Sus scrofa: one gene and its partners. The protein of the gene in region 1 purifies or fractionates together with the protein of each later gene. This does not show direct contact. Links are inferred from orthologs where the notes say so. Each region holds a gene or a part of one and is shown in the gene's direction. Other genes may lie near its edges.

Region 1 (3,500 bases):
TGTTTCCAGAAAAGCTCTGCATGATTTAGGTTAGTTATAAAGTGCCCTACTGTGTATAGCTTTTGAAAAAATTATTTTGATACAGCTGGACATTGAAGCAGCATTTCCTAGAAATGCACATTAGAGACTCTGTGTTCACTGGCAAGTCAGGATTTTTCACATTCCGTAGTCATTCATACTCAGTCACTTGGTTTGGTAGTCCCTTTACTCTGGTAGCCCAAATGGTCCAAGAAAATGTGACTAGGAATAGTTCGGCCTGAGTAGTTATGAGTTTGCAAGGCCAGGCAGGCTGACTGTAAAATTATTACCACAAGTCTATAAACCAGTCTTTCTCTGATTTCATTTAGATTGTTCCCAAATTCCACTGTTGGTGATAGTGGGGTCCCAGCACTGCCTTCTTTGACAATGCGTCGGATGCGAGAATCTGTTTCCCGGATGCCTGTTAGGTATTTTTTATCTACTGCTTTTCTTTTGGAAGGTTTTATTGGTGTGGGTGGGATTGAAAGCATGGATGCAAAAGACAGGAGTTTCCTTGCGTTCCTTCCGCCCTGTGTAAACCCTTTGCTGCTTCTGTGGACCCCAGTGTTGGTGTTAGAGCAAAACGTAGTTCTTTGTGGTCCTGTAGTTCTTGAATTCTGGAAAGTGACTGTGACTATAGTTTATTCTGTTATCCTAGCATGTCCCTTTGTTCTCATTACGTTTTAAAGAACTTGAGATTTTTGCCTTCCTCATTATGCATGTGCAGTGAGCCTCAGGGAAAGGGTCCCAAAACAGTAAATAGTGATTCAATAAAAGTAAAACTCTCAACTTTGAATTACTTATTGTAGGCTTACATTGCTAAAACCATGGTACCTAATAAACTGCTCTCTTTAAAAGCATCTAATTAGATGTTAGTATAATATCTATTTTATTTTTATTTATTTATGTGTCTTTTTAGGGCTAACCTGCGGCATATGGCGGTTCCCAGGTTAGGAGTCCAATGGGAGCTGCAGCCACTGGCCTACACCACAGCCACAGCAACACCATATCCAAGCCGCGCCTTCAACCTACACCATAACTCATGGCAATGCCAGATCCTTAACTCACTGATTGAGGCCAGGGATCAAACCCTCATGCTCATGGATCCCAGTTGGGTTCATTAACCACTGAGCCACAAAGGGAACTCCTAAAAGCTGTTTTAAGCTTTGAGTTAACATGTCTCAGTGTTACACATGAATTTGGAACCAAAAACAAATCTACGTCTTTATTCAAAGTATCTGACTTTATATATATTCATAATTTTTTTTTGGGGGGGGGTCTTTTTAGGGCTGCACCCGTGGCATATGGAAGTTCCCAGGCTAGGGGTTGAATTGGAGCTGAAGCCACCAGCCTACGCCACAGCAACATGGGATCTGAGCTGAGTCTGAGACCTATACCACAGCTTATGGCAACACCAGATCCTTAACCCACTGAGCGAGGCAAGGGTTCGAACCCACATCCTCATGGATGCTAGTCATGTTAACTAACTGCTGAGCCATGACAGGAACTCCATATTCATAAAACATTTAATGGCCTTTGTAAACCTATCATGAAATTTGTTAAAGGTAGCATATTTTAGAACAAAGAATCTGAATTGATAATCTAGATGTGTTTGTATATGACTTCTATTTTTCTTGATAATTTGAAAAGCAAGTCTGACTGAAAAACTGTAATTGTCAGTTCCCTGGTGGTCTTGTTAGTGGTCAGGACCTGGTGGTTTCACCACTGTGGCCCAGGTTCGCTGCCTGGTCTGGGAACTGAGATTCCTTATCATGCCGCTGCATAGTGTGGCCAAAAAAGAAAGGAACTGCTTGCTTTTGAAGATTTAGATACATTTAGATGGAAGAAACTGGGGTTCTGAGAGCATTAGTGTTGAATTGCCTGGAAAGGCAGTCTTTCAAGGAAGTAAAGCAGTTTCTTTTAGAAAAACCATCTTTTTGTCCCTTGAATTCATGCATGGTGCTGCTTGAATCTGAATAGAACTCAGAGTAATCTTTTGAGCAAATAATGAAAATCTTATACCTAATGCATGTTCCCAGTTTGGTTGGTGGGAGAGTGGTTTTGGGTAAAAGAGGCCAGTGATACATTTCACAGTTAGGTATTGAAACCTAAAAACTCAGCTCACGTTAATTGACTTTGTGAGCTGTTTATGGGGGAGAGGATTCACAGTGGATAAAATTCTGGCCTGTTTGTAGACATGCTTAGTAGGTCTGACCATCTGTTTAAAAAAAACTTCTTTAAAGTTTTCTAATTTGGTCTCATAATTAACCTGAATAAGTCCCAGCTAGCTTAGTAGAGGGTAGTATGGTTGGTAACTGTTAATCTCTCTCAGAGGTTGTCTAAAATTTAGAGTATTCTGTAGAGGTGGTTTATTAAATAGAAGAAAACTAATAATGTATCATTTCTTTTCACATGAATTCCAAGCATGTATATTTCCTTTTCTAAAATAAATGGTGCATATTGAAAAAAAGGAACATTTTTTTGTCAAAGGTTGTAGTTCAAGTAGGGTTTGTCCCAAGTATCTTAATGAAGTAGATACTCGAAAGACTGCCTGTACAGAAAGCTCAGTATCAGTCACGGAATTTTCTTTCTCCTTCTCTCTACTAGTTCCCAGCACAGATACTCCACACCCCATGCTTTCACATTCAACACCTCCAGCCCTTCCTCTGAAGGTTCCCTCTCCCAGCGGCAGAGGTCGACGTCCACACCCAATGTCCACATGGTCAGCACCACCCTGCCTGTGGACAGCAGGATGATTGAGGTAATGGGGCCCCTTGCGGGTGGTAAAGATTATCAGTCAGCTATTTGATTGGGGTTTACTGTTGTGTCAGAGAGTTCTGGGTTTTAAACCTGATAAGGAATGTTGTAGCACTTTCTCAAATTCCTGGACTTTTAAAATTTCTTTTCTTATTCATTACATCTTGAAATTGGTTTAATAATCTGGTTAGTGTATCAGTCGAGGGGAGAACTAAAATTTCAAATTGAATTCATTCTTTCCATATCAGATTAGAGTAGGATTTCAGTGAACTAGTGAATAAGGTCTATAAGGAGTAGTTTCTTTCTGGTTTGGAAAAGAAAATAATAGTGGTAGAGAGGTACAAACTCTCTGAAAGACTTTTAAGTGATTTTATTTAGAAATGAAAGGGTAGAGTTATAGGATTTTAGGTATTTAGGGAAATATAAAGGTGCCTAAAGCCTGGTGTTTTCAAACTGCTTTTTCTTTTCTTGGCTTTTTTTGTATGTTCTATTTGTTTGGTTTGCTTTCTAGTTCATCTTTAATAACAACTGAATACATAAAATACTTCCTTTGTTCTTTATTCTTCTTTATTTCTCATTGCTTTGGACTAGAATAACAGCCTGAATGCTTCTCCCAGGGCGTGGTCCAGACGATTTTGTTTGAGGGGAAGAGTAGGTATTTTTCTTCATGCCTTTGCTTTCTTTTAAATTAACAGGATTGCTAAGACTGTCAGACAGTAGACTAT
Region 2 (3,500 bases), on another chromosome or scaffold:
CCATGAGGATGCAGGTTCCATCCCTGGCCTTGCTCAGTGTGTTAAGGATTTAGTGTTGCCGTGAGCTGTGGTGTAGGTCAGAGATGCAGCTTGGATCTGGTGTTTCTGTGGCTGTGTTGTAGGCCAGCAGCTATTGCTCCGATTCAACCCCTAGCCTGGGAACTTCCATATGCTGCAGGTGAGGCCTTAAAAAGACAAAAACAAAACAAAATAAAAAGGACCCCCCCAAAAAAGAAAGAAAAGCTTCGTATACCACTCCCTTCTTATGTGATTTCCAGCCCTTGCTGCTCTCTTATTTCCTGCCTCCTTTAATAGCAGTGCTCTGGGTCTGAGGAGTGCCCAGGACTGCCACACTTTGTTCTGTTTGCTCTGAGGATGGTAATTGTCGAATAAAGGAATAAGAAGCCCCTGCTTTTGGTTTCCACAGCTGAAGAAGATTTTTGCTTTGTGAGCTCTAGCATGCCTGTGGTTCATTAGAATAGTGACCAAAGTTCCTCGCTGTTTTCCAATGCCTCTCCATTCATTTGTGTACCTGATTGAGGAGGAACTTGAGTGTAGAACCTTGACTGACCCACTGTCCCCATCCCCATTTGCTCTGGTTCATATTCTCAGTGTATGAACTCTTGCTTTCCTGTGGCTGGATTCTATTTTTCATCTCACTGCCATCTCACTGAGGTTTGGTCCCTGCCCTAGGATTAGCATGGCCTATCTGTCTGCAGGGCAGGAACAGTGTGGAGTAGATGACTCTGGGGGTCCCATCAGACACTGGGAAGGTGGTGACCTGTTCTTATGGACTCCTTCTGGAAGAATCATGTCTGCTTGACTCAGAGTTCCCACTTGTTTTTTTGCAGTTTGTTAGTTTTCAGTGGCTTTATGTTTCTGAAGGAATGAATTTTCCTTATGTGTCTGATAAAATTCAAAACATATTTAGTTTATAATCCTGATTGTTCTCTTAACAGCTTTTTTCAAGCTGAGAGTGGTATCTTGTCTTTCCCTCTACTTATGTGTTCCAAGCACACTCACACAGTTCACGGGCTTGGTGGTGTTTCTCCATGTTTTGGGGATTTTTTGTTTCTGTTTTTGGATTCCCCCCCCTCCCCCAGCTGTGCTTGTGGCATGTGGAAGTTCCCTGGTCAGGAATTGAACCTGCACCACAGGAATGACTCAAGCCACTGCAGTGACAATACAGGATCCTTAACCTATATGCCACAAAGGAACTCCTGGTTCTTCCTATTAAGTTAAACATTTGTGGGACTAGGGCAGTCAGTTTCTCTGCTCCAGATAACTTTGTTGGGTGATTTGATTGACAGAGTTTGAGTGGGTATGAGCTCTGTGCTGAGCTTCTTGTACAGCATAGAGTGTATGAGGCATTGGAAACTGCTCTCCTCTTCCTCAGATTGGTACTTAGCTGGGAGCAGGAATAATCTTCCAATTTAGGCTCTTCAAAGAAAGAGTATAGGCGCCAAATTCCTTAGCTGAGAATGCTGGGAATGGGGGGTTCATAAATAGCAGAGTGTCAGAGCCATGCAAAGTCAGGCACCAGGGCAACAAGTGGCCTGGCTCATTTATGTAGCGCAAGCTCAAGGCTTCTTAGTTAGGCGAGGCTTAGTCTCTAACCAGTCAGGTGCTGGGAATCATTGTCTTTGTGTCTGAATTGAATTCTTGTTGCATTTATAAGCAATTATAGATGTAATTTCTCTTTTACTTTTTATAGGATATGGAACTTGGAACTCTGGGACAAACAGAGGCAAGTATCATTCCCATAATCACTCTCCTTTTCCTTGGGATTAAACTGATTGAGTGTTTCTGCCACTGCCCAGCCTAGTTAAAGTTGCAGGGTGGGGGTTGTCTTTGGGGGTCCTGGGTGCACTGGGGCCAGCAATTCCTTCACAGGAGGCCTTTTCAGAATGGCGATGGCCCACCCAGCTTGTCTCTGACCAAAAATGTCCTGTCTCTTGTGTTTGTTTCTCTGTCTCCTCGCCCCCTCCATCTTGTCTGTCTCTCTTTCTGTCCCCCTCATTGCAGGCTACGAGAACTATGGTTATGGCTATGGCTATGGCCAGGATAACACCACCAACTATGGGTATGGTATGGCCACTTCAAACTCTTGGGAAATGCCTAGCTCTGACACAAATGCAAACCCTAGTGCCATGGGTAGTGCCAGTGCCGATTCCGTTTTGTCCAGAATTAACCAGCGCTTAGATATGGTTCCGCACTTGGAGACAGATGTGATACAAGGAGGCGTGTACAGCTCAGGTGGAGAAAGGTGAGTGGGCATCTACCTGCCTAGGGGTTGAGGCTCTGCCGGGTCACCTCCTGTCTCTTGTTCCCTGGTGTCTTCCTCTTCTGAACTATCTCTTGTGTCTACTTTTTTCTTTGCTCTGCTGCTGGGGTTTCCCAGAGACTGCTTGGGGTCCAAGGCACTTCCCTTCTCTGGCCTGTGTCCTCTTCTCCCTCCATTCTCCTGCATTGCCCAGTGGTGAGCCTCTCCTCCAGCTTATAGAGGGAGAAACAAGCCCAGACTGGGCTGGTTTCACTGAATCCTCCCATTTCACTCTTCTCAGGAACATTGTTAAATGGCTCCTCCCTCTGGAGACAACCATTTGAAGCTCTCGAGATACTTTGCATCCTGCCTTCTGTCAGGGCAGGACAGATTGGGTTGAGTGTAAAGGTTGGAGTGAACCTTTGGGGCTGACCATAGTGAGCTGGACCATCCCATATAAGGGTACCCTTTGGTGACTTATAAATGTGTACTTGTTGAACATCAGAAGTGTTCCTGTGAGGAACTGTTGATGTCCTCACTATGCAGATGGGGAAAGTAAAGTGTGGGCAGGTCACACCTCTTGCCCAAAGGTACCCAGGAGTAAATAGTGGAGATGGGCCTCCCACTCAGATCTGCCCTGCCCCACAGCATCATGCTGTAGGCATTTGTCATTGTCCAAACTGCTGCTGGCCCAGGCGTTCTTGTGCCCTAGTGAGAGGTTTCAGTGAAGAGGGCATCTCTTGGCACAGCCATGAGGGGAGCAACCTCATGGCTCCAACTGACAGGGAAGAGCAGAGAGTAAGGAGGGACCTGGCCAGGCACTGGTGGGGCCAAGTGAGGCCCCAGGACCACTAGGGGGCAAAGAGTGCCAAGGGGACTTTTGCGTGCATGGGCTCTGTAGCAAGCAAAAAGTGTTGAGGAGTGGGACGTGCCTACCCAGCCTACCCCTTGCCCTTAGGGTCTTCAAGCTGGTGTGTGGCCTCATGCAGGCTTGGGGACACTGGCCGAGAGCCCTTTCTGGCTTCTAGAACTCTGTTCCTCAGAGACCTTTTAATTTGCATATCTGAACATTGATCCTTTCTGACAGGATGGGTGTTGGAGTGGGTCTTCCTATCCCCAGGACAACGAGGTTTAGGGGAAGGCAGAGGCAGTAATAGGATGATGGGACCTGAGATCGTCCCTGATGCTTGCCACCTGCCTCTGCAGATATGATTCCTACGAGGCCTGTGACTCAAGG
Region 3 (4,282 bases), on another chromosome or scaffold:
AGGCGAAACCCCTGCCATCACAACCCATTAGGAGGAAAGTCGCACAAAGGTAAGTATAACGGTGGATTAGGAGTGAAAGCTAGTATTGACTGGGTACTTACTAAGTGCCAGACACTGATGTAAGTTCTTCATGTATTTTACTAATTCAGTCCTCCTCAAACTCTATCAGCCGGGTACCATTATAATGCTTGTTTGTAGGTAATGTATGGTGACTGCTTAAGGATTCATAAACCCCAGGGAAGGTTTCCTGAAGGACTAGGAATTAGCTAGGTAGCAAAGGTAGGTCGGAAGGCAGGGCCATTCCAAGACCAGGGAAGGTGTGGATGCCACCTACTGGAAGTCTCTGAAGTATCCCTGGCTGGGGCCAGGGCTTGTCAGAAAGTTGCAGGAACACACAGGATTCAGTCTAGAAAAGAGAGTGGTCCATATCCTACAGACAGCTGGAGGTTTGAAGGGTTTTAAGCAAAGGAGAGACTTGGCTAGATTTTTAGAAATATCATGTGGGCAGCTGGGTGGAGGTGGATGAGAGGTAGAGACACTGTGAGTAGTAATCCAGGCGTAAGTTGCTGGTCCCAGGGCTTGGGGAGGTAAGGAGGAGGTGAGAGAGAGAGGCAAAGTTTTCCGGACGATGATGATGATTTGGGGATTGTTAGTTAAATAGGGGACAGAGCAATTTTGAAGGACATCTAGTTTCTGCTCCTAATCCAGAAGAATGGGGAAAATCTGGTGAGGTAAGTTTTGGATGTGAGCTCCTCCAGCCCCCAGCCTTTTTTTTTTTTTTTTGTCTTTTTGCTATTTCTTGGGCCGTTCCCGCGGCATATGGAGGTTCCCAGGCCAGGGGTCCAATCGGAGCTGTAGCTGCCGGCCTAGCCTAGGCCAGAGCCACAGCAATGCAGGATCCGAGCCGCGCCTGCAACCTACACCACAGCTCACCGCAACGCCGGATCGTTAACCCACTGAGCAAGGGCAGGAACCGAACCCGCAATCTCATGGTTCCTGGTCGGAACCACTGCGCCACGACGGGAACTCCAGCCCCCAGCCTTTTTGCCTTCTGGCGTTGCCTGAGGCTACTGCCAGCCGGCGCCCTTCCCGCCACCCGGATACCCAGCTGCTCAGGGGGCGGGCAACAGAAAGAGCCTGAACCAGGAGTTCCCATTCTGGCGCAGAGAAAACCAATCCGACTAGTATTCCTGAAGACACGGGTTCCAACCCGCTCAGCGGGTTGGGGATCTCGCGTTGCAGTGAGTTGTGGTGTAGGTCGCAGACACGGCTGGGATCCCGCGTTACTGTGGCTGTGGCATGGAGAACTTTCATATGCCGCGGATGCCCTAAAAAAAAAGAGCCTGAACCGGCGCCCTCGGCCGTGCCCGGGACAGCAGTGCGCCATCCTGTGCGCCAGAGGGCGCTCCCGAACATGCTCTGGCCGCTCTGGCCCAGCCTGTCTCAGTGGCCGCGGAAGGTGACGTGGACACGGAAGTGGTCGTCGTCGCGGCGGCACCGGTGGGAACGGGGTGCGGGGCTCAGAGTGCGGCCGGCGGGCGGACGGTCGGCGGTGATCTCGCACCTGCGGCGGCGGGGGACGTAGGCTTTGTCGGTTGAGTGCGCGTCCCCTCAGTCCACGAGCGGCTTCTCAGCCTTTCTCCTGCCCGTCGGAGCCCCGGGGCCGGGACCCGTTCAGCCGGCGTCACCATGACCAAGGCCGGTAGCAAGGGCGGGAACCTCCGCGACAAGCTTGACGGCAACGAGCTGGACCTGAGCCTCAGCGACCTGAATGAGGTCCCTGTCAAGGAGCTGGTCAGTACGGTCCCTCGAGGCCCAAGGCGCCGGTCCTCGACTGGCGCTGGCCCCTGGTGGGGGGGGGTCTCCTTCCTTCCCAAGCTTCAGTTTCCATGGCTTAAAACGAGGTGGGGGAAGTGGGACTAAGTCCTCGGGGAGGCCGCGTCCAGCCCCAGCGTTCTTCCTGGGATGTACACGTGTCACTTTGGCGCAGGTCCAGAAGATGGGAGGTTAGCTGCTGGTGTAGCCATGGGCTTTTTACGGGTCAGGAGTGAATCTTCGTGCATTTCAAGAGCTTTCAGGGAACTTCGCTCCGTGCCCGACCCAGAGTAGGCGCCCACGGAGAGATTGCTTGATGTTTTGGGAGAATGAATGAACAAATGAATGAGTGACTCGTCAGAGTAGGCCTCCGGGTAGACCTGGGTGTGGCTCAGAACCAGGCCTTTCTAGGAAGCGACCAATCCCAGCTGGCTGTCCCAGCCTTGAGGCGTCCTTCCTTGAGAGTGAAATGTCACTGCTTGGTTGGCAAGGTCTCTTCCCAACTCTGAAACTGGCGGGAATCTGCACCAGGGTGGCCCCCCCCCCCCCACTCCCACAACCAGGAAAACAGGCTGAGGCCCAAGGGACATTACCTGACTAGTTTGTTGCCAAAGTGAAGTTAATGTACATCCTTGCTTTGCCCACCTAGTTCCCCACCCTTATCCCCCACAGTAGCGTCGCTTTGGATGACCTGCACTTTCGTCACTGTCTCTAACTGATCATATTTGCTTTTGGCACTTGGCCCAGTCTTCCCTCCACCTTGGCTGTGTAGTATCCAGGTTAGAATGGGATTCCCAGTTCGTAGATCAGCTGTATTGCTTAATGGCTTAGTACCCTTGGCAGGCTAGTTAACCTTTGAGCCTAGATTATCCTCCTTTATAACACGGTGATAGTTGTTGCTATCTCATAGGGCTGTTGGGAGGACTAAATACAATTGTAATGTAAACTACTTGGCAGGTAGCAAATGCTCATACATGTAGGTATTACCAAGGTGTGCTTCCCATTGTAATAGCTCAAACTTTTTTAGGTCGTCAGATGTCATTCTTGGGACTTTCTGACATTTGGAAAGTGCAGAGTTGACCCAATATCCTTAACCGAATATTTGCCTTCTTCCTGGCCCCAGGAAGATGGCCAGCCATGTGTCAGCCTGGCCCTAGGACTGCCATCTGAAAGCACTTACTCCAGGCATCTGGTTGACACAACATCGCCCCCGGGAGACGGAAGGATTAGTTTTGCTGAGCTTCTCCAAGCTGAACCCCATGGGAAAACAGAGCTGGGATGTGAGGGCCTTATTTTACTTTGCACTCACTCATGTACTCATTCATTCAGTCGTGGATCAGCCAACGGGTATATGGAGAAGAGCCTTGACCTAGAGAATATGGAAATCACAAAGCTGTTTGACAGAGTCCCTGCCCTGAACCTAATCGGGAGCAGTACTAGAGGGAATAGTAGGAGTGCCATGGAGAATTTCTAAGAATCTGTTTTCCTTTCTTGGAAAGGAATCCCTGCTCTTTGCATTCATCTCTCTGTCCTGGTTGACTCTGACTGGCTTATTTTGCCTTTCCTGTCTCCAGGAACATTATACTTTAGAGGTTTTTTTTTTTTTTTTTTTTTTTTTTTTTTTTTTTTTTTTAAGGTCTTTTCTAATCGTGGGGACTTTCTCTGGAAATTGCTTCATTAGCAGATGTCACTGAATTGTTCCATGTGTTGATCTGACGTTTTGTTCTCATTCCCTTTCCTAGGCTGCCCTCTCCAAGGCCACCATACTGGATCTGTCCTGCAATAAACTGACTACTCTACCGGTAAGACTGGCAGGGAGCCTTCATGCTTCTCCTTCTTATTTGGCGGAGTTACATCATAAGGCATAATTTCAGGATAGGCCTGCCAGCAGGCTACCACTAAATTGGAGTGTGTTGGGGGTAGAAGCGGGGAGGTTCATCTCAGTAGGAAGGGAAGCATGGTAGAGGCCGCTTTCTTTAAGAACAGTGGGAAAGTCAGGCCACCAAAAACGAAAGTCACCAGAACATTTGGCTGAGTCGCTTGTTGGGGTCATGTTTTTTTTCCTGCCTTATTTTATTCCTTTGAGAAATAGTTTACCTCCCTATTGCAGTAGAAGAGGCAAGAGACGATTCTGTAAGTTGCTCTGCATTCCAGAGAGAATGCTGTTTCTGAACAGCCTCTCCGTGCATCTTTTGATGGGGAATGGGAAAAAGCATAGTTCTGTGGGACTTGCCATATCATCCTCCCGACACCTGAATTACTTGAGATAATGTTTCCAGTCGAATCCTTCTGATTTTTCTTGTGCAACTTCTCCTGCTTCTTTTGCTCCACCTGTGAAAGCGTAGGAGTCATTCAGCCCCCTCGACCTCTCCTGGGTATGGGCTGGTTTCTCCTCCATGGCGGTGGTCCTGCACCGTCAGGCCTAAGTTTGTTGTCATTATTGCCTTTTCCATCCATTACTCTGGCC
Region 4 (4,244 bases), on another chromosome or scaffold:
CCTAGCCTGGGAACCTCCAATACGCCGCGGATGCAGCCCTAGAAAAGACAAAAATGAACAAATAAATAAGTAAATAAATAAGACAAGACCTCTTTTTTTTTTTTTTTTGTCTTTTTCTAGGACCGAACTCTCGGCATATGGAGGTTCCCAGGTTAGGGGTCTAATTGAAGCTGTAGCTGCAGGCCTATGCTAGAGCCACAGCAATGCTGGATCCAAGCTGCGTCTGTGACTTATAACACAGATAATGGCAAGGCCAGATCCTTAACCCACTGAGCAAGGCCAGGGATCCAACCCGCAAACTCGTGGTTCCTAGTCGGATTCGTGAACCACTGAGTCATGACGAGAACTCTTTTTTTCTAATTTTATTTATTTATTTATTTATTTTTTGGACAAGACCTCTTAAGGACTTATTGCTGTACCTCTGCCTCTCTCATAAAATCATTCATTCTTGGAGTTGCCACTGGTGCAGGGGATATAGCAACAAATATGGTCATCTATGGAGTTTCTGTAGTGGCACAGTGGAAACGAATCCGACTAGGAACCATGAGATTGTGGGTTCCATCCCTGGCCTTGCTCAGTGGATTTAAGGATCTGGCCTTGTGGTGAGCTGCCGTGTAGGTCATAGACATGGCTCCGATCTGGCATTGCTGTGGCTGTGGTGCAGCTGTAGCTCTGATTAGACCCCTAGCCTGGGAACCTCCATATGCCGCGGGTGTGGCTCAAGAAAAGGCAAAAAGACAAAAAACAAAAAAAGCATTAGCTATTATTATATTTATGGTATTGTTATCTAGGAGCTCCTAAAGAAGTAAGAAAGGGTGGGAGAGAAGGAAATGATCCTAACAAAATATTTAAGAGCTAAAATGAAAGTGAGCAAAGAACACCAAGGCCCACAGCCGAAGCAGTCGGGTTAAATCTTGTCGTCAGTGGCTCATGGCCAAGACAGCCAGCTATACCATAGTCTTAGGCTCTGGAATTGGGCCCTGGTTTTCAGGAGGCAGAGCCCAGGCCTTGGATCATTCAGTTCCCTCTTTTCTTATAAAATTTGGGCCTGGCGGCCCGGGGCCGAAAAGAGGCCCGGAAGTCCTTCTCCACTCTCCACCGAGAGCCGATACAGCTTTCGCCTAACGGGTTAAGAGATGACTGGAGGCAGCGCTCCGGGAACTACGCTTCCCAGCATGCAACGGGCCAATAGAGGCCTTCCGGTCTCGTCTGGCCTCCTCGCAGGTTTCGCTGGGAGTTTGTATTGACCTCTACACCCCTCTCATTCGAAGGGGCTCTTGTCCCCTGTAGGCCCCTCCCCTTTCTGAGGAAGGGGGGGTGACCTCGCAGAGTCCCGCGAGCTGTTCCCTTCTTCCCTTCTCATTGGCTCAGCCTGGCTGCCATTCCTAAGCGAGGAAGAGAAGTTGATTACTGATTGGCGGATTCCGTTTGGCGCCAACTTGGACAGGGGGGCGGGGCGGCAGCAGGCCCCTGTGAGCAGCTATTACCGCGAAAAGCCACCTCGGCAGCGACAGCTTGGGAGATAGGTGAAAGCCAGCTTGGTTCTCTGCGTCCTCGGACTGGGCAAGAGAGTGAGAAAAAAGCGAAGAGCTTGTGAGCCCGGGCCGTTGCCTCGCAGCTCTGGCCGCTCTCCCTCCCCGACCCCCCACCCCGTTCGTTTGGATTTAATCTTCAGGTTGCCGGCGCCCGCCCGCCCTCCCGCCGGCCTCGCGGAGTGAGGGGAAACACCCGTGCCAGAAGCTGGCGCCTGCAGAGTCCGAACACCCGCCCGTCCGCGCAGCTTGCCCGAGACAGTCGCGTCCCTGAAACTCGGGGTCGTGTTTGTGTTTGACCCGCGGGCGCTGACGGCGAGGCGCGCGGCCGAGGCCAGTGCCGGCGGGGCGGGGAGGGCGCGGCGGAGGAAGAGGGAGCGGGATCCCTGGGAGGCCGGGCGCCGCCATGGAACTGGGCCCCGAGCCCCCGCACCGCCGCCGCCTGCTCTTTGCCTGCAGCCCCCCTCCCGTGCCGCAACCTGTCGTGAAGGCGCTGTTCGGTACGCCAGCCGCCGGGGGCCTGTCGCCTGTCACCAACCTGACGGTCACCATGGATCAGCTGCAGGGACTGGGCAGGTGAGAAGGGACCGGCGAGCGGTGCCGCAGGCCGCTGGCCTCCCAGATGGCTCTCGGGAGAACGGACCCGGAGAAGAGCGAGACTTGGTCCCTTAGGGGGCGGCCCCGCCGGCGGGGCCCGCCATGTGCACCCTCCCCCCAGCCCCCAGACCGAATGTTGAGCGGGAGAGTCTGTTCGGACCTCTCCAGGGCCGCCCTCAGCCCCGAGCCAGGCCCGGTAGCGGGTGGGGACTGCTATGGTTTCCCACCTTCGCCATCCCTTTCATTTTCCCTGTCCCCTTCTTCTGTTCCTATCCCAGGAACTTTTTTGAAATCTACCTCCACGGAGGGAAAGCAAGTCCTCCTCACTTCCACCCTATGCTGAACCATCTCTCAGGACTTTAGTTGCCTGTGAGCTTTGTTTCCTTCTGAACAAAGCGACATTTGCTGAGAAGGAAACGTCTCTTTGCCCCGGTTTCTTTCCTGGTGTTTGCAAAATTATCTCAGTCCCTCGCCCCATGCTCATTTCCTATGTGCATCCTATGTTTTCCTACGGCCAGATCTTTTTACTCGATTTTCCACACTCAGAAGCTCCCTGAATTTTCTTAATTGCAAAAAATGCATCGCATCGTTTTTCTGGTGAAGCTGCTTTCTCTTCAATCTTAGATATCCCATTTTCTAAATAAGCACGTCTTCCATCCTCTGAAAAGCAGGAACTTGTCCTACTCATTCCTGCTTCTAGCTGGGTACCTAGAACACATGCTCTCCTTCCGGGAAGTACTCCAGTAATTGATCATAGTCATCCTGTGCCAGGCCATGCCAACCCACTTATTTCTCATTTCCTTTTATGCTTAAGTCCTGAGTGGCCAAGTGTTCTGTGATGTGGCCTAGAAGTAATGATGGTTGGTGGCAGCATGGCTACTTGCTAACCTCATGGCCTTCCTCCTGTTTTAACCTTAATTATGTCCTAGAGCTATAGACAGTTATTTCTCTTGTTTTCAGTGAGTATGAACAAACACTGGAGGTGAGGAACAGCAGTCTGCAGAGAATGGGCTCCTCCGAATCAACTGATTCAGGTATTGGTTTAAGACATTTGTCATGTGTCTGCTGGGTGCGGAGCAATACCTAGAATTTGCTGAAATGTGCTTTCACCTAGAAACTTAGTTTGGTGAGTAGTTGAGATAGTAAACAGAAGCATGACTTTGAGTGACAGATACCCTTAAGATACAAAGGAGGCCCTGTGGTACTTTATGTCAAGTGGTCCCAAGGAAGTGTGTGCTTGGTCTTTTTTTTTTTTTTTTTTGTCTTTTTGCCTTTTCTAGGGCCACTCCTGCGGCATATGGAGGTTCCCAGGCTAGGGGTCTAATCGGAGCTGTAGCTGCAGGCCTATGCCATGGCCACAGCAACTCAGGATCTGAGCTGTGTCTGCGACCTACACCACAGTTCACAGCCACGCCAATTCTTAACCCACTGAGCAAGGCCAGGAATCAAACCCACAACCTCATGGTTCCTAGTCGGGTTCGTTAACCACTGTGCCACAACGTGAACTCGTGTGCTTGGTCCTGAGGGTGAGTAGTAGAGTAAAATTTAAACCACTATGAGTGGCATTCAGAAATTTTACTGGTTAAATGCTGGGTCAAATTATTGGCAGTATAATGAAATTATTTCAGTGACCCTGGAGAAAATGTGCCAGAGCATTTTATTCTAACCCATAAGTTCATGCTTTATTTATTTGCATAGATGCTTTAGGTTAGGGAACTACAAGTGAAAAGTCTTAAGATGTAGGCTCCTTAAGAACCACAGATAACGATTCTTATTTATGTCATTGTGGCAAGGGAGAATGTCAGTCAGGAGTAGCAACAAGTTACTTACTGTGTGGGTATCTAGGCATCATGGAGGAAAGGTTGTGGGCTAGGCAACCTTAAGGAGTCTGGACCATGCTGAGCAATGTTTCCTATTGTGCTACCTTGCACTTGACTTGACTTGGTGTTATTCTGTTGAAGGCAATACTTGCCTTGCTTGTCGGATGACAACTGTATTTCCCAAACCCCTGATAAGATACTTGAAATCAAAACTATTCAGAAAATGGGTACTTAATTCTTTCCATGGTTGGAACTCACAGAAAGTTAGCTTGGGTCATCCCTATCTGAATAACCA
Region 5 (3,500 bases), on another chromosome or scaffold:
GACAGTGCTCAGGGTAATGACGTACCTTGCAAAAGTGCTGAGGAGTTTTTTGTGAGAGTGTGTTCTTGATTGAGTTTTGGGTTCAGTTACAAATCATCATAGCTTTTTATTTTTTCACTCTTTTGTTTTTTAGGGCTGCACCTGCAGCATATGGAGGTTAGGCTAGGGGTTGAATCAGAGCTATAGCTGCTGGCCTACACCACTGCCACAGCAACATAGGATCCAAGCCGCATCTGTGACCTACACCACAGCTCATGGCAACGCCAGATCCTTAACCCTCTAAGCAAGGCCAGGGATTGAACCTTCGTCCTCATGGATGCTAGTCAGATTCGTTAACCGCTGAGCCACAATGGGAACTCCTAAATCATCCTAGCTTTAAATAATATCTGTCATGAATCTGCTTTCCACAAAAGGAACATCAACCCTGTCTCTGCCACAAGTAAAATGAGATACTAATATCCACCCTGCCTATACCAAAACAAGATCACGAGCTTACCCATAGCTATGTGCCAGCCAGCTGGCCCAGTAAACTGGCACTTAGGATGGATAATGGCACTCTGAGCAGTGATGATAGCCACGTGAGTTCAGTCATTAAAAATAAAGATTTAGGAATTGCTGTTGTGGCTCAGCTGGTTAAGAACCTGACAGTATAGTGTCCATGAGGATTCAGGTTGGATCGCTGGCCTGGTTCAATGGGTTAAGGATCTGGCTTTGCCCCAAGCAGCTGTGGCGTAGGTCACAGATGCGGCTCAGATCCAGTGTTGATCTGACTGCTACAGCTCCAATTTGACCCCCAGCCCAGGAACTTCCATATCCCATAGGTGTGGCTATAAAAAGAAACAAAAAGAAAATAAAAATAATAAAGTTTTATATCTTTTTTCATCCTTATCTATGTGCATGTTATTGGGCTACTTGATTCCAGTTGCTGTGTTTTACCAAAGGAGGAGAGAAGGGCTCTTAGTTGAAAAACTAGTCTAAATATATAAGTTGTCTTCTGTTATCTCTTATTTATATTGAGTATACACATATAGGGCCCCCAAAGCCTCATGATTTAGTAAACTGTCTTACTGAATTTTGACACTCAACAAAGAATGAAGCTTCAAGTTGCTCAACTCTTAAAATAGAGCAGTAGTTTATTGTTGTTTGGAAAGATTAAAGTATGGAAAGATTGAACTATGGTATCAAAAGTCAACAGTGTAGGAGTTTCCATCATGGCTCAGTGGTTAACGAATCCGACTAGGAACCATGAGGTTTCGGTTTCGATCCCTGGCCTTGCTCAGGGGGTTAAGGATCCAGCGTTGCTGTGAGCTGTGGTGTAGGTCGCAGATGCAGCTCGGATCCCACATGGCTGTGGCTGTGGCGTAGGCCGGTGGCTACAGCTCCGATTGGGCCCCTAGTCTGAGAACCGCCACATGCCCCGGGAAGCGGCCCTAGAAAAAAAAAAGAAGGCAAAAAAAAGAGTCAACAGTGTAATGTTACTGTTAAGGGGTTCTGAATTTTTTTATAAAACTAGTGCACTAGTGCTATATCTTTTCTTACATGATCGGTATGTTGCAGAAACCTTTCTTTTTTTTGGTAGTGTTTTTGTCTTTTTTTTTTTTTTCCTCTCGGGCCACACCCATGGCATGTGGAAGTTCCCAGCATAGGGTTCGAATCGAAACTGTAGCTGCCAGCCAGTGCCACAGCCACAGCAATGCTGGATCCGAGCCACATCTGACCTACACCATGATTCACAGCAATGCCGGACCCTTAACCCACTGAGTGAGGCCAAGGATCGAACCTGTGTCCTCATGGATACTAATCGTGCCTGTTACCACTGAGCCACGACGGGAACTCCTCTTTTGTTTTTATCATGCCCCCAGCATGCAAAAATTCCGGGGCCAGGGATCAAACCCACACCAAAGCAGTGAACCGAGCCAGTGCAGTGACAAAACTGGATCCTTAACCTGCAGAGCCACCAGGGAACTCCAGGCATCTTTTACTTTTCAAAATATGTTCACATGTTATCTTATTTGGTCCACACAGCAATTGAGATTGTAAAGTGTTGTTTTGTTGTTTTTTTTTTTTTTTTCCTTTTCTGTCATTAACTCCTTCATATTTTTTTTCCCAACTTAAAGAAACTAAGTTTGTTTTTCTAGATTCTAAACTACTGCTTGTGCAGTTCAACATCCTCACAGATAGGTCCAAAATTCAATGTGGTTATAATCTAACATTTATTTTTTATAATAGCTTTATTGAAGTATAACCAACATACAATGTACTGAATATACTTATTATTTATTTATTCATTTTTAATTACTCAATGAATTTTCATTGAATATACTTAAAATCACAATTTATGGGTTTTGATATGTGTATACATCTGCTAATTCATTGCTATAATCAAAATAAATCAACATTTCCTTCGCCCCAAAAGTTTCCTTGTGTCCCTTTATAATCCCCACTTTTCCCATGCTCTGTCCCTGGGCAACCACTGGAGTATTTTCTATAGCTCTAGATTTGTTTTCATTTTCTAGGATTTTACAAAAATCGGAGAGGGGAAGTAGTGAACAGGACTTGTATCTCATGGTATATTTCTGAGTTGGCTGAAAAAAACTGTAAAGTATGACCTTTCAAAGTGGTGATGTTCTGGTACTTGACTCCACATAGCCTGTGATGGGATAGAAGGCTTTTGATATCTGACTTCTTAATCAGAGCCTAATGTTTAATAAACATAGCTTACATTTATTAAAAGCCAACTCTGTGCCAGGCACACTTCTTACTTATTCAAACCTCAAAACAATCCTGTGAGGTCAGCACTGTTGTTAGCTCCATTTTACAGATGAGGAAATTGAAGCACAGTTCAGTTACTTGCCCAAGGTCACATGGCTAAGTGGTATAACAGTATGACTTTAGAACCACCACTGCTTCTTGGATATGACTAGAAAACGCAAACCCTCTAGTAGCTTTTGCACCAATACCAGTGAAGCATTAAACAATAGGTCATATAGCCCCGAAGCCAGGGTTCCATGTTGAATGGCAAGCATTTCATTCAACTCGGATCTGACTTCGAGATCTTTGATTACGAAAACTGAATGTCTTTATACTGCTGCGTAATCAAGAGTTAACCCTTTACTGCTTGGTTTATATTTCTTGGAAATTGATTCCCGTACATTTTTGTGTTTTCTGGAAGTCTTTTAAGATTTGACCTCTATTTTTGTTTTCTAGATGATCCAGATCCTGATGATGGATTTAACTATAAACAGATGATGGTTAGAGATGAGCGGAGGTTTAAAATGGCAGACAAGGATGGAGACCTCATTGCCACAAAGGAGGAATTCACAGCTTTCCTGCACCCTGAGGAGTATGATTACATGAAAGATATAGTAGTGCAGGTGGGTGAGAGCAAGGGTTCCCAGTGGAAATTTTCACTTTTTGTTGCTTACACTCTTCCTTTTTAGCCTTTCTTCTGTATTTAGAAGAATGACTTGCTGTACAAGTACTGGCCAAATTGAGTCCAA
Region 6 (3,981 bases), on another chromosome or scaffold:
GCGGCTTCCTTGCTGGAGGTTATCCACCTTCTTCTTCTGTTAAAACGGGGGGCATTTACAGCATAAAAATCACATAAAAATCAAACCTTACAACAGCCTGCCCAACAGCAATATAGTGCGAGTCACATACGACTTTAAACACTTTCTATTTCTAGTACATACACCAAAAAAATAAAAGCAAACGAAACCATTATTTATCCCCATATACCAAAAACACTATCACTTCAACTTGTCATCAATATCATACCCGTTAGGGAGAGGTTCTGCATTCTCTTTTTGGGTAAAGAATACATACATCTGAGTATCAGCTATCATATCTCCACTGGGACTAGCCATACTTTTAAGTGCTCAATATAGCAGGTGCTAAGTGCTAATTCTTAGAAGCGTGGCTGCTATTACCATACCTCATCTGGAGTAAGCCACTGTACCACGTGAGTCATCTGGAAGACGGGCCTACATTTTGGGATAAAGTCATAGGATTTGCCTTTAGCCAGTCACTTCCTGGACCTCCACGTTTTAACTCACAGCCACAAAACACACGGTTCCGATCTAAGCAAATGAACAGTTCGCATAAATGGGGCCGCTGCCCCCTCTCATGTGCAGGTTATCTCAGTTGCGAGACGGGGGTGAGGGTGGGATGAGTCGTCACCCCAAATGCGGGGGGCCCAGCACCACTAACCCCGGGGGGGGAAAAGCAGGCGAATGGGAAAGTCCTTTAAAAAGGGGAAGGGCTGGTAAAAGGAGCGCCGAGCCCTTCGGAGAACAATTACGGCCGTGGGGCAGGGCCACGTTCCGGGGATGTGGGTGCCAGAAGGGGCAACAATGGAGGCGGGCGAATTCCGCGAGCCAGCAGATTCTGCCGAGCCAAGCGAGCGTCCGCAGCCCCGGCCCGCGGGCCCTTGCAGGGCCGCGAAAGTGCCGAGCCGCAGGCGGTGGAACGTCCGGGTTGGGTCTGGGCTCTGGGCCGCAAACGCCGCCTGGGCCTCCACCGCGCGAGTCCACTGTCTCCCGGCTCCTGAGTGGCTGGGGGGCCGGGGTTAACCTTTCACCGCCGCGCTCTGTCCAATCACAGGCTCGCTCTCATGCCGGCGCGGGGCGAGCGGAGCGTGGGGGCGCGGAGGGGGCGGTGCGGGCGCGGGTGGGATTCTCCAAGCTGCTGTGCGCCGTTGCCGCGGGCCTTGCGCGGGCTGCGGGCGAGCCGGCCGCTGCGCAGTCTCCGCAGCCGCCGGCGGGAGGGGTCGAGGCGGAGGCGCGGCGCGGCGCAGGCTGCTCCAGGCCCAGGTGAATGGAGTAACCTGACAGCGGGGACGAGGCGACGGCGAGCGGGAGGAAATGGCGGCGGCGGCGGCGGCGCCGGGCGGCACCGGGAGGCCTGGGTTGTGACGCGCGCGCCGAAGCGGGGTCCGATGGTTCTCGAAGGCCCGCGGCGCCCCGTGCTGCAGGTGAGGCGTGCTCCCGCGGAGCCGCTTTGTGTCCAGGGCGGGGAGCGGCTCCGCCCGGCCCCGCGCCCGCCTCTGCGCGGAGGCCCGCGTGGGCGCCCGGGCCTGGGCCCCGCGGTGGGGGGACCGGCGCGGGCAGATGGCGCGGCCTCGCCTGGTCCTGGACGGCGCGGCCTGCGGGGCTGGCGTCCACCCCGCCGGGCTCTGCGCCTCCCCGACCCCGGCGCCCGTCCCGAGTCGGCGCTTCGGAGGGACTTTGTGCGGTCGCCCAGGCACCGGATAGGGACGCGGGCGCCTCCGCTGCGGGCGTGGGGCCGGTCCTCGCCGCTCGCCCCGGGCCCGCGGAGAGCGGGGCTTTGACAGGTCCTGTTAACGCACGCGGCAGTGGTGCGGGATCAGCAGCCCCGTCCCGGGAGCATCCTCGGGACCCGGTGGTGGCGGTGGCTGCGCTGGGCCTCCTCGATGGACACCTTCGAGGGGGCCAGGAGGGAAGGAAGCCGGGCCGTCTGTGCTGGCAGGAAAGTGCGAGCCTCTGGGGCGCGCCCTTCGAGAATTGTTCGTGTTTACTGGCAGGTGACCAGATCTGGGTCCCCAGGGGCCGGTGACCGAGGCCATCTTTCCCCCCACCCCTCCTCTCCAGTGTTTTTGTGCCAGATCGCCTGGACCCTGCAAAGGAGCCTTTCTTAAGGGTTTTTAAATCTGCTTTGGGAAATCAGTGTATGTTTCAAGTTAGCATAGTAGATTTTTTTGTAGATTGTCCAGAAGAGCTGAGCTGCCTGGTGGCTTTGCCCGCGGTACAGAGCTAACTAACCACTTAATGTATCTTTAATAGCTTGAAGATTTGCAAAAACCGAGACGAGCGGAGAGTCCTTGCTGTAGAGTTCAACCTGTGCTTTTGGGAGGAAAAGTCCTGCTGAAAGGGGCACATTACTGACTCATCTAAGTCTGAAGTATTGCGACTATCACGATTTAAAAGCGTTCATCTGATTCAACAGTATTACTCTGGAGTCTGTGCTTCTTGCGGTGCTTTGGCCTTTGACTTTTCTGAGTCGTCACAATCCTGATTTTCAGTTGTCTTCTTGTTGCTTGTTTTTTCAAGTGCAGCACAGTGAGTGGAAAAGGGCACAAGTCAGGAGTTAAGTAACTTGGAAATTATTTTTTTTAATGTGCTTTAAATAAAAGGCTAACCACATTGAAAGAGTATTGGCATAAACATTAAATTTTCTAAATAAAAATACCCATCTTTGCCAAGAGCTCCAATAATTTGTTAGAGGATGAATGACGGGACAAGATTCTGAATGTGCTGCTAGTGAATAGTAATTTTAGTATTAGTATCTTTGGGAAGTAGGTTCTGGAATAATCAGTTTATTTTGCAAAGCATTGTCTTTAAAGCTTGCTGTCCCTCTGGGGCATATGTATATTGTAAGTAATATATGAAACATATATGGTTACTTCAGAACTTCATTTCAGGACATATTTTATAAAACTATAGGTTAGAAACACTGCAGAGATTGCCTTTAATATGTCACTATGGATACTTAAATGGCAATGAGGGATTTATTCAAGGCATCAAAATGCTGTTTTAAGAAAAGATGTCCACGTTTCATTTGGGGAGCAAAGCCCTCCTTTTTCTGCAGTAAGGGCTTGCTTTCCTTTTTATGCTGTCTTCTCATCATTAAAGGCTAGTTCTGCTTCTTGTATTATGCCTGTGGGTCTGTGTGTGAGTTGTATGTGAAGTGGTTTTGCCATTGCTGAATTGTATTGTCTTGGTTTTAGAAGACATTTTTATCTTGATGTGGCTCATGATCCTAATTTGACAGTGATTTTGTGGTGGTGTGCAGTGGGTAGTACTTTTAAAGTACTCCTGTCTTCAAGAAGGCTGACCTTTAAGGCACTGAGATATTTATTCCCTGCCGCTCTGGGACAGATGGAGGAGATACTTGTTTCATTTGAGAAAGTAGGTATTTCATGGACATTCAACTTAATGTTGTCTTATTTTATTTATTTATTTTTTTTGTCTTTTTTTTTGCTATTTCTTGGGCCGCTCCCGAGGCATATGGAGGTTCCCAGGCTAGGGGTCCAATCGGAGCTATAGCCACCGGCCTACGCCAGAGCCACAGCAACGTGGGATCCGAGCCGTGTCTGCAACCTACACCACAGCTCACGGCAACGCCAGATCGTTAACCCACTGAGCAAGGGCAGGGACCGAACCCACAACCTCATGGTTCCTAGTGGGATTCGTTAACCACTGCGCCACGACGGGAACTCCATGTTGTCTTATTTTACATGCAAGGAAGCTAAGACTTAGAGGGTTCTGACTCTAGAAGTGACAGAGCCAGGATTGGATCCTGCTCTGATTTCACAGTCTTTACGTGTGGGCGCTTATCCTTGCGTTGCATTGCATCGCTGCTGCAAGTGGACTTGAGGTGAAAAACCTGCATAAGTTGCACGTAAGTCCTTAGTTAATACTTGCTGAATGAATTGAAACTGTCTCACCTTAAGTGTCCAGGTGACCTTTGATTATCTGAATTACTTAACATTT
Region 7 (4,104 bases), on another chromosome or scaffold:
TCGCTGGCTTACAACTGGTTGAGAGCGCTGCCGCCCGACACCCTAAGAATGGAATCAACCACGATGATCTCACAAAATGATGAATTCGACAACACAGGGATATGATCTAACCTGTCCCCATCCTCTCTCCTCAGTCTTTGAGCGCAAGAAAGGGGACAAAAAGCTGTGTGGACACGGGGTGTGGTCATCACAGCCATTGGTCTGCAACTTTCTACTAGAGCCATCACAATTAACTGGTTTACTTTTCGATGGGGAATGTCGACTACGAAATACGACTTGCATGTGCACACTGGTTGTGCGAACCTGGGGAGAAATCTAAGAGAAGTGGTAAGATGAATTACCCGGGTTCCTGCAAATCGACAACAACGCCCAGAATCGCGACCGAAGCGCCATCGTTGAGGGAATCGCAAACAAAGCCTCGGGCAGACCAGGCCTCTTTCCTCACTGGGGTCCCAGAGGTTCGCTGGGCGCAGCCATGTTTACTTAGGGAAAAGCCTAAGGCTCACGTAAGGTCATCGACGCCTCGACAGGAACCAACAAGCCCCCCGCCGCTGAGTGGTAGAGAGTGCAATCTGTCATCTCCGTTCCTCCAATCAGCGCTTACGCTGGGGGCGCACGCAGGCGTCGGAACCAACCAAACACTTAGCAGCAACAAACTTCCGGGGAGGGCGCGAGCCGTTAAGTAGAGGACGCTTGTTGTCGGCGTCCGGCGTCTCGGGCACGCAAGGCAGCATGTGTTCTCTCTTTGGGCCCTCGGGTTGGAAGGCGTGGATTGACCATTGTCAGGCACCCCTCTCCACACACGTGGGGGAGAAGGGGCAACGCAGGACGCACGCCCTTCTCTTTAAAAAGGGTGGCTGTCGTTTTCCCGTAGGGCCCATGGAAAACCTTGCCCCGTCCCATCCAGATTCGAGCTTTTACTTATGAGTCCGGAAACAAAAAGAGACTCGCTGCGTGCTCTTCGTGCGAGCTCCATTTAAAGGAAAACAAACTATAAACAAAGACTCGGAACCCCAGGTCTACCTCAAACGGCCCCGCCCACCCCGTCCCCCGTCACTCTCCAAGCCCCGCCTTACCTTTTCTAGAAGGCACTAGAAAGTGCAAACGCGCGTGCGCAACCTGTTTCAGAGGAACGCTTGAGCGTAGCACCATCTTCCGCCAGCGGTCCAAGTTCCTGACTTCCGACCTCCTACCTTCGCGCCGTTCTCATTCGCTTTCTAATTGGGCGAACGGCTGGACCCGCCCTCCTTCCGGCTCCTTACTTCCTGCGCGTTCAAGCTTCTCGAACCCTCCGCCCCCACCTTTCTTTCCCGTCCTGCCCCGCGGCCTGGCCGGGGCGTGGGGCGGTGCTGGTGAGCGAGGAGCGGCGTTCCCAGCATCCTCCGCGGCGCCGCTGAGGACCGTTCCACGCCGTTGCCGCCCGGCCGGAGCACCGCGCCGCAGGTTGCCCTCGGTGTGCCCGAAACTCGACGTGTACCCTGCCGCGAGGATGGAGGGGCCTTTGTCCGTGTTCGGGGACCGCAGCACTGGGGAGGCGATCCGCTCCCAGAACGGTAAGGGCGGGCGAGGCCTGTCTGGGGCCCGCAGCGGTGCGCCGGATTCCCCTCGGCCGTCGTCCTTTTGCCTTTTCTCTCCGAAAAGGGGCCCCCGGGAGGCGCCAGCGCGGGATCGCAGCCCCGGCCGGCCTCTCCGCTTCGGGGTGGCGGCGCCCTCTTCCCGGAGGGAAGGAGTTCCCAAGAGCCGGCACGTTTTTAACGGGAACCGCTCGGATGCTGCGGTCGGCCGGGGAGGCCCGGCCCTGGGCCTGAGAAGCACTCCCCGGCCTGGCGAGGGTTCCGCGCACTGACACGTGCGGCCACGCCTTGAGTTCTTGGGGCCGGTGCCCCGCGCGTTTGGGGCGTCCATCCCAACTTCTGGGTCTCATTTTAGCGTTGCTGATCAGAAAAGACAGCCTTAATTGCTGCTCTTATTGGTGAGCGAATGGCCCCACAGTTCAGAAGACAAGCCCGTTGCACACCACCGGTTGTCATCTGGAGTTAGATGCGGTGTCCCCACCTGTCGTTGGTCACATTTGGTAATAGTTGGCTAATGAAATTTGTTGAATGTTAGGGTAAGATTAAAATGAGTTTATCTACTGAACTTCAGCCCGTTAAAGCATTTGTGGTTGAGCCTCTCTTGAGACTGTTTACACTTTGAAGCCCTGCATGCCAGGTTCCAGCCGGTCTCTAGTCGATCTTAGGGTTATTTTGATAGATTCCTACGTGATTTTTGTAGTGGTGGAGTTTGTAGTATAGTCATAACCTCTGGATTTCTGCTTTTTTGAGTCACAGATAAAGGATTATTAATCTCAATAGACCTTTTTTTCTTTAAAAGAGTTGCCAGAACGTGCAGGAAAAGGCTTAAATATATATTTATCTTTTTCTGTTTTGTGTGATGTGACAGAACCTGAAATGACTAGTAGATATATTTTTTTAATTGTATGCAGCAATTAAGTGGATATTCACTTGGCACCTGTTTTGCAGTTGAATTCAAACTGAACTTTACTGGTTACTCTCCCTCCCCATCAGAGACTTTAGCTAATTTCCAAATTTGGACAGATTTGCAGATTTGAGAAATTCAGAGGCTGTTGGATATCCTTTATGTTTTGGGGAGCTGAAATGCTTGTCTCTTGGAATCCCGGGTTTTTCTAATTTCTTTTTTCATTTCTACAGTCATGGCTGCGGCTTCGATTGCTAATATTGTGAAAAGTTCTCTTGGTCCAGTCGGCCTGGATAAAATGTTAGTGGATGATATTGGTGTAAGTACGTCTAAATGTTGTGTTAGTCACTTTAAAGGGAAAAAAAGAGCATTTGTAAATACTTTGCTGTGTAAGTTACTTGTTTTTATTAGAATGGTTTTGGGAAGTCTAGTAAAGGTGAATGTATCGTAATGGGACTGTGCTAACTTAGAGGGTATTCTGTTTCTATAGGTGATTGTGTCATTTTTTCCCTCCCTGGAAATTTCTTAGGATGTAACCATAACTAACGATGGTGCAACCATCTTGAAGTTACTGGAGGTAGAACATCCTGCAGCCAAAGTTCTCTGTGAGCTAGCTGATCTGCAAGACAAAGAAGTGGGGGATGGAACCACCTCTGTGGTAGGTAAAGACTAGTGGCCGAGGACTAGTTTTTGTCCTTAAACTTTCAGAGTAAAGGCATAACCCTCCTAAGAAACTCCTCTGCTTCTGAGTCAGAAGTAATTTACATACTTGAGATGGAGAAAATTTAAGTTGTTTTAGGGGTAGTGATTCAGAAAATTTGAAAACTCATGGTTAGGGCTAATTTGTACAACTCAAGTAGGGGGGGAAAAGCATAGTTCTTGTTTTAAATTTTCTACAACTTTTATGCATTTTTTCCCCTTGGGCTGTGCTTATATTAAAGCATCACGCATCTGTTGAATGGTTTCTTTTGAAGAAGAAAAATGTTATTTATTTCTCTTTTTACAGTCTGAGGCTTAGAAATTTCTAAAACCTTCCCAGGTGTTTAAAGACAAGATGTTTTTATATTTTAAATGCTGACAGGCAGTCTCACAAGTTCAAGAAATCTGGTAAATATGTGATCAGTAATATGACATAAACCTGAAGATGGACCAACACTGTGATGTGTTATAGAGACGCTGTTATGTAGTAATGAACAAATAATTTGCTCTACAGAAGCAAGCAGTAGTGGGGGGGGGGCATCTCTTTCTGGATTAAACTTTAAGCTATGAAAGAATGGAATCTAGCTCTTCTGAAATAATGGAAATGGTTTTTGCTAGTAACTGTTCATAGTAATATAGTTTTTTAAATGACTTTAATTTTCTCAAAAGAAATAGATGAGGGTTTTTTTGGTGTTTTTAAATGAAAATAATTTTGGTGTTCTCAGAAGGATTTTTTTAAAGTTTTATTGCTGTGCGGTTGGTTTACAGGATTGTGATAATGAGGTAGCCTTTTCACTGTCTTTACTTTGTGGTGATGAACATCTGATGCGTGGCAGTGTTTTTATGTGTGCGCCGTCCATGATGTCAGGCTAACATGAGAGCAATGAATGTTCTCTCTGCAGGTTATTATTGCAGCAGAACTGCTGA

The links.
Region 2: the proteins of RAF1 (region 1) and AKAP8L purify together in Homo sapiens (affinity purification with mass spectrometry; 3 studies listed by BioGRID and IntAct, with this or other methods). This does not show direct contact. The link is inferred for Sus scrofa from reciprocal best matches to the Homo sapiens genes RAF1 and AKAP8L.
Region 3: the proteins of RAF1 (region 1) and LRRC59 purify together in Homo sapiens (affinity purification with mass spectrometry; 3 studies listed by BioGRID and IntAct, with this or other methods). This does not show direct contact. The link is inferred for Sus scrofa from reciprocal best matches to the Homo sapiens genes RAF1 and LRRC59.
Region 4: the proteins of RAF1 (region 1) and CDC25A purify together in Homo sapiens (affinity purification with western blotting; 3 studies listed by BioGRID and IntAct, with this or other methods). This does not show direct contact. The link is inferred for Sus scrofa from reciprocal best matches to the Homo sapiens genes RAF1 and CDC25A.
Region 5: the proteins of RAF1 (region 1) and CALU purify together in Homo sapiens (affinity purification with mass spectrometry; 3 studies listed by BioGRID and IntAct, with this or other methods). This does not show direct contact. The link is inferred for Sus scrofa from reciprocal best matches to the Homo sapiens genes RAF1 and CALU.
Region 6: the proteins of RAF1 (region 1) and DICER1 purify together in Homo sapiens (affinity purification with mass spectrometry; 3 studies listed by BioGRID and IntAct, with this or other methods). This does not show direct contact. The link is inferred for Sus scrofa from reciprocal best matches to the Homo sapiens genes RAF1 and DICER1.
Region 7: the proteins of RAF1 (region 1) and TCP1 purify together in Homo sapiens (affinity purification with mass spectrometry; 3 studies listed by BioGRID and IntAct, with this or other methods). This does not show direct contact. The link is inferred for Sus scrofa from reciprocal best matches to the Homo sapiens genes RAF1 and TCP1.

Annotation. Positions count from the first base shown.
Region 1 is NC_010455.5:68,598,906-68,602,405, reverse strand, and holds part of RAF1 (RAF proto-oncogene serine/threonine-protein kinase), read left to right. Parts: intron 1-347; coding exon 348-446; intron 447-2,625; coding exon 2,626-2,779; intron 2,780-3,366; coding exon 3,367-3,426; intron 3,427-3,500. UniProt on the Homo sapiens protein: Serine/threonine-protein kinase that acts as a regulatory link between the membrane-associated Ras GTPases and the MAPK/ERK cascade, and this critical regulatory link functions as a switch determining cell fate decisions including proliferation, differentiation, apoptosis, survival and oncogenic transformation.
Region 2 is NC_010444.4:62,194,735-62,198,234, forward strand, and holds part of AKAP8L (A-kinase anchor protein 8-like), read left to right. Parts: intron 1-1,714; coding exon 1,715-1,747; intron 1,748-2,025; coding exon 2,026-2,266; intron 2,267-3,469; coding exon 3,470-3,500. UniProt on the Homo sapiens protein: Could play a role in constitutive transport element (CTE)-mediated gene expression by association with DHX9. Increases CTE-dependent nuclear unspliced mRNA export.
Region 3 is NC_010454.4:26,691,468-26,695,749, reverse strand, and holds the start of LRRC59 (leucine-rich repeat-containing protein 59), read left to right. Parts: upstream 1-1,482; 5' UTR 1,483-1,689; coding exon 1,690-1,794; intron 1,795-3,557; coding exon 3,558-3,617; exon of another isoform or gene 3,618-4,282.
Region 4 is NW_018085145.1:101,417-105,660, forward strand, and holds the start of CDC25A (M-phase inducer phosphatase 1), read left to right. Parts: upstream 1-1,444; 5' UTR 1,445-1,938; coding exon 1,939-2,108; intron 2,109-3,089; coding exon 3,090-3,163; intron 3,164-4,244. UniProt on the Homo sapiens protein: Tyrosine protein phosphatase which functions as a dosage-dependent inducer of mitotic progression. Directly dephosphorylates CDK1 and stimulates its kinase activity. Also dephosphorylates CDK2 in complex with cyclin-E, in vitro.
Region 5 is NC_010460.4:19,851,805-19,855,304, reverse strand, and holds part of CALU (calumenin), read left to right. Parts: intron 1-3,207; coding exon 3,208-3,374; intron 3,375-3,500. UniProt on the Homo sapiens protein: Involved in regulation of vitamin K-dependent carboxylation of multiple N-terminal glutamate residues. Seems to inhibit gamma-carboxylase GGCX. Binds 7 calcium ions with a low affinity.
Region 6 is NC_010449.5:116,433,621-116,437,601, reverse strand, and holds the start of DICER1 (endoribonuclease Dicer), read left to right. Parts: upstream 1-1,181; 5' UTR 1,182-1,281; exon of another isoform or gene 1,282-1,442; intron 1,443-3,981. UniProt on the Homo sapiens protein: Double-stranded RNA (dsRNA) endoribonuclease playing a central role in short dsRNA-mediated post-transcriptional gene silencing.
Region 7 is NC_010443.5:7,588,836-7,592,939, forward strand, and holds the start of TCP1 (T-complex protein 1 subunit alpha), read left to right. Parts: upstream 1-1,304; 5' UTR 1,305-1,489; coding exon 1,490-1,553; intron 1,554-2,711; coding exon 2,712-2,797; intron 2,798-3,007; coding exon 3,008-3,136; intron 3,137-4,079; coding exon 4,080-4,104. Other genes in the region: MRPL18 (39S ribosomal protein L18, mitochondrial), read right to left, coding at 1-42, 1,077-1,152. UniProt on the Homo sapiens protein: Component of the chaperonin-containing T-complex (TRiC), a molecular chaperone complex that assists the folding of actin, tubulin and other proteins upon ATP hydrolysis.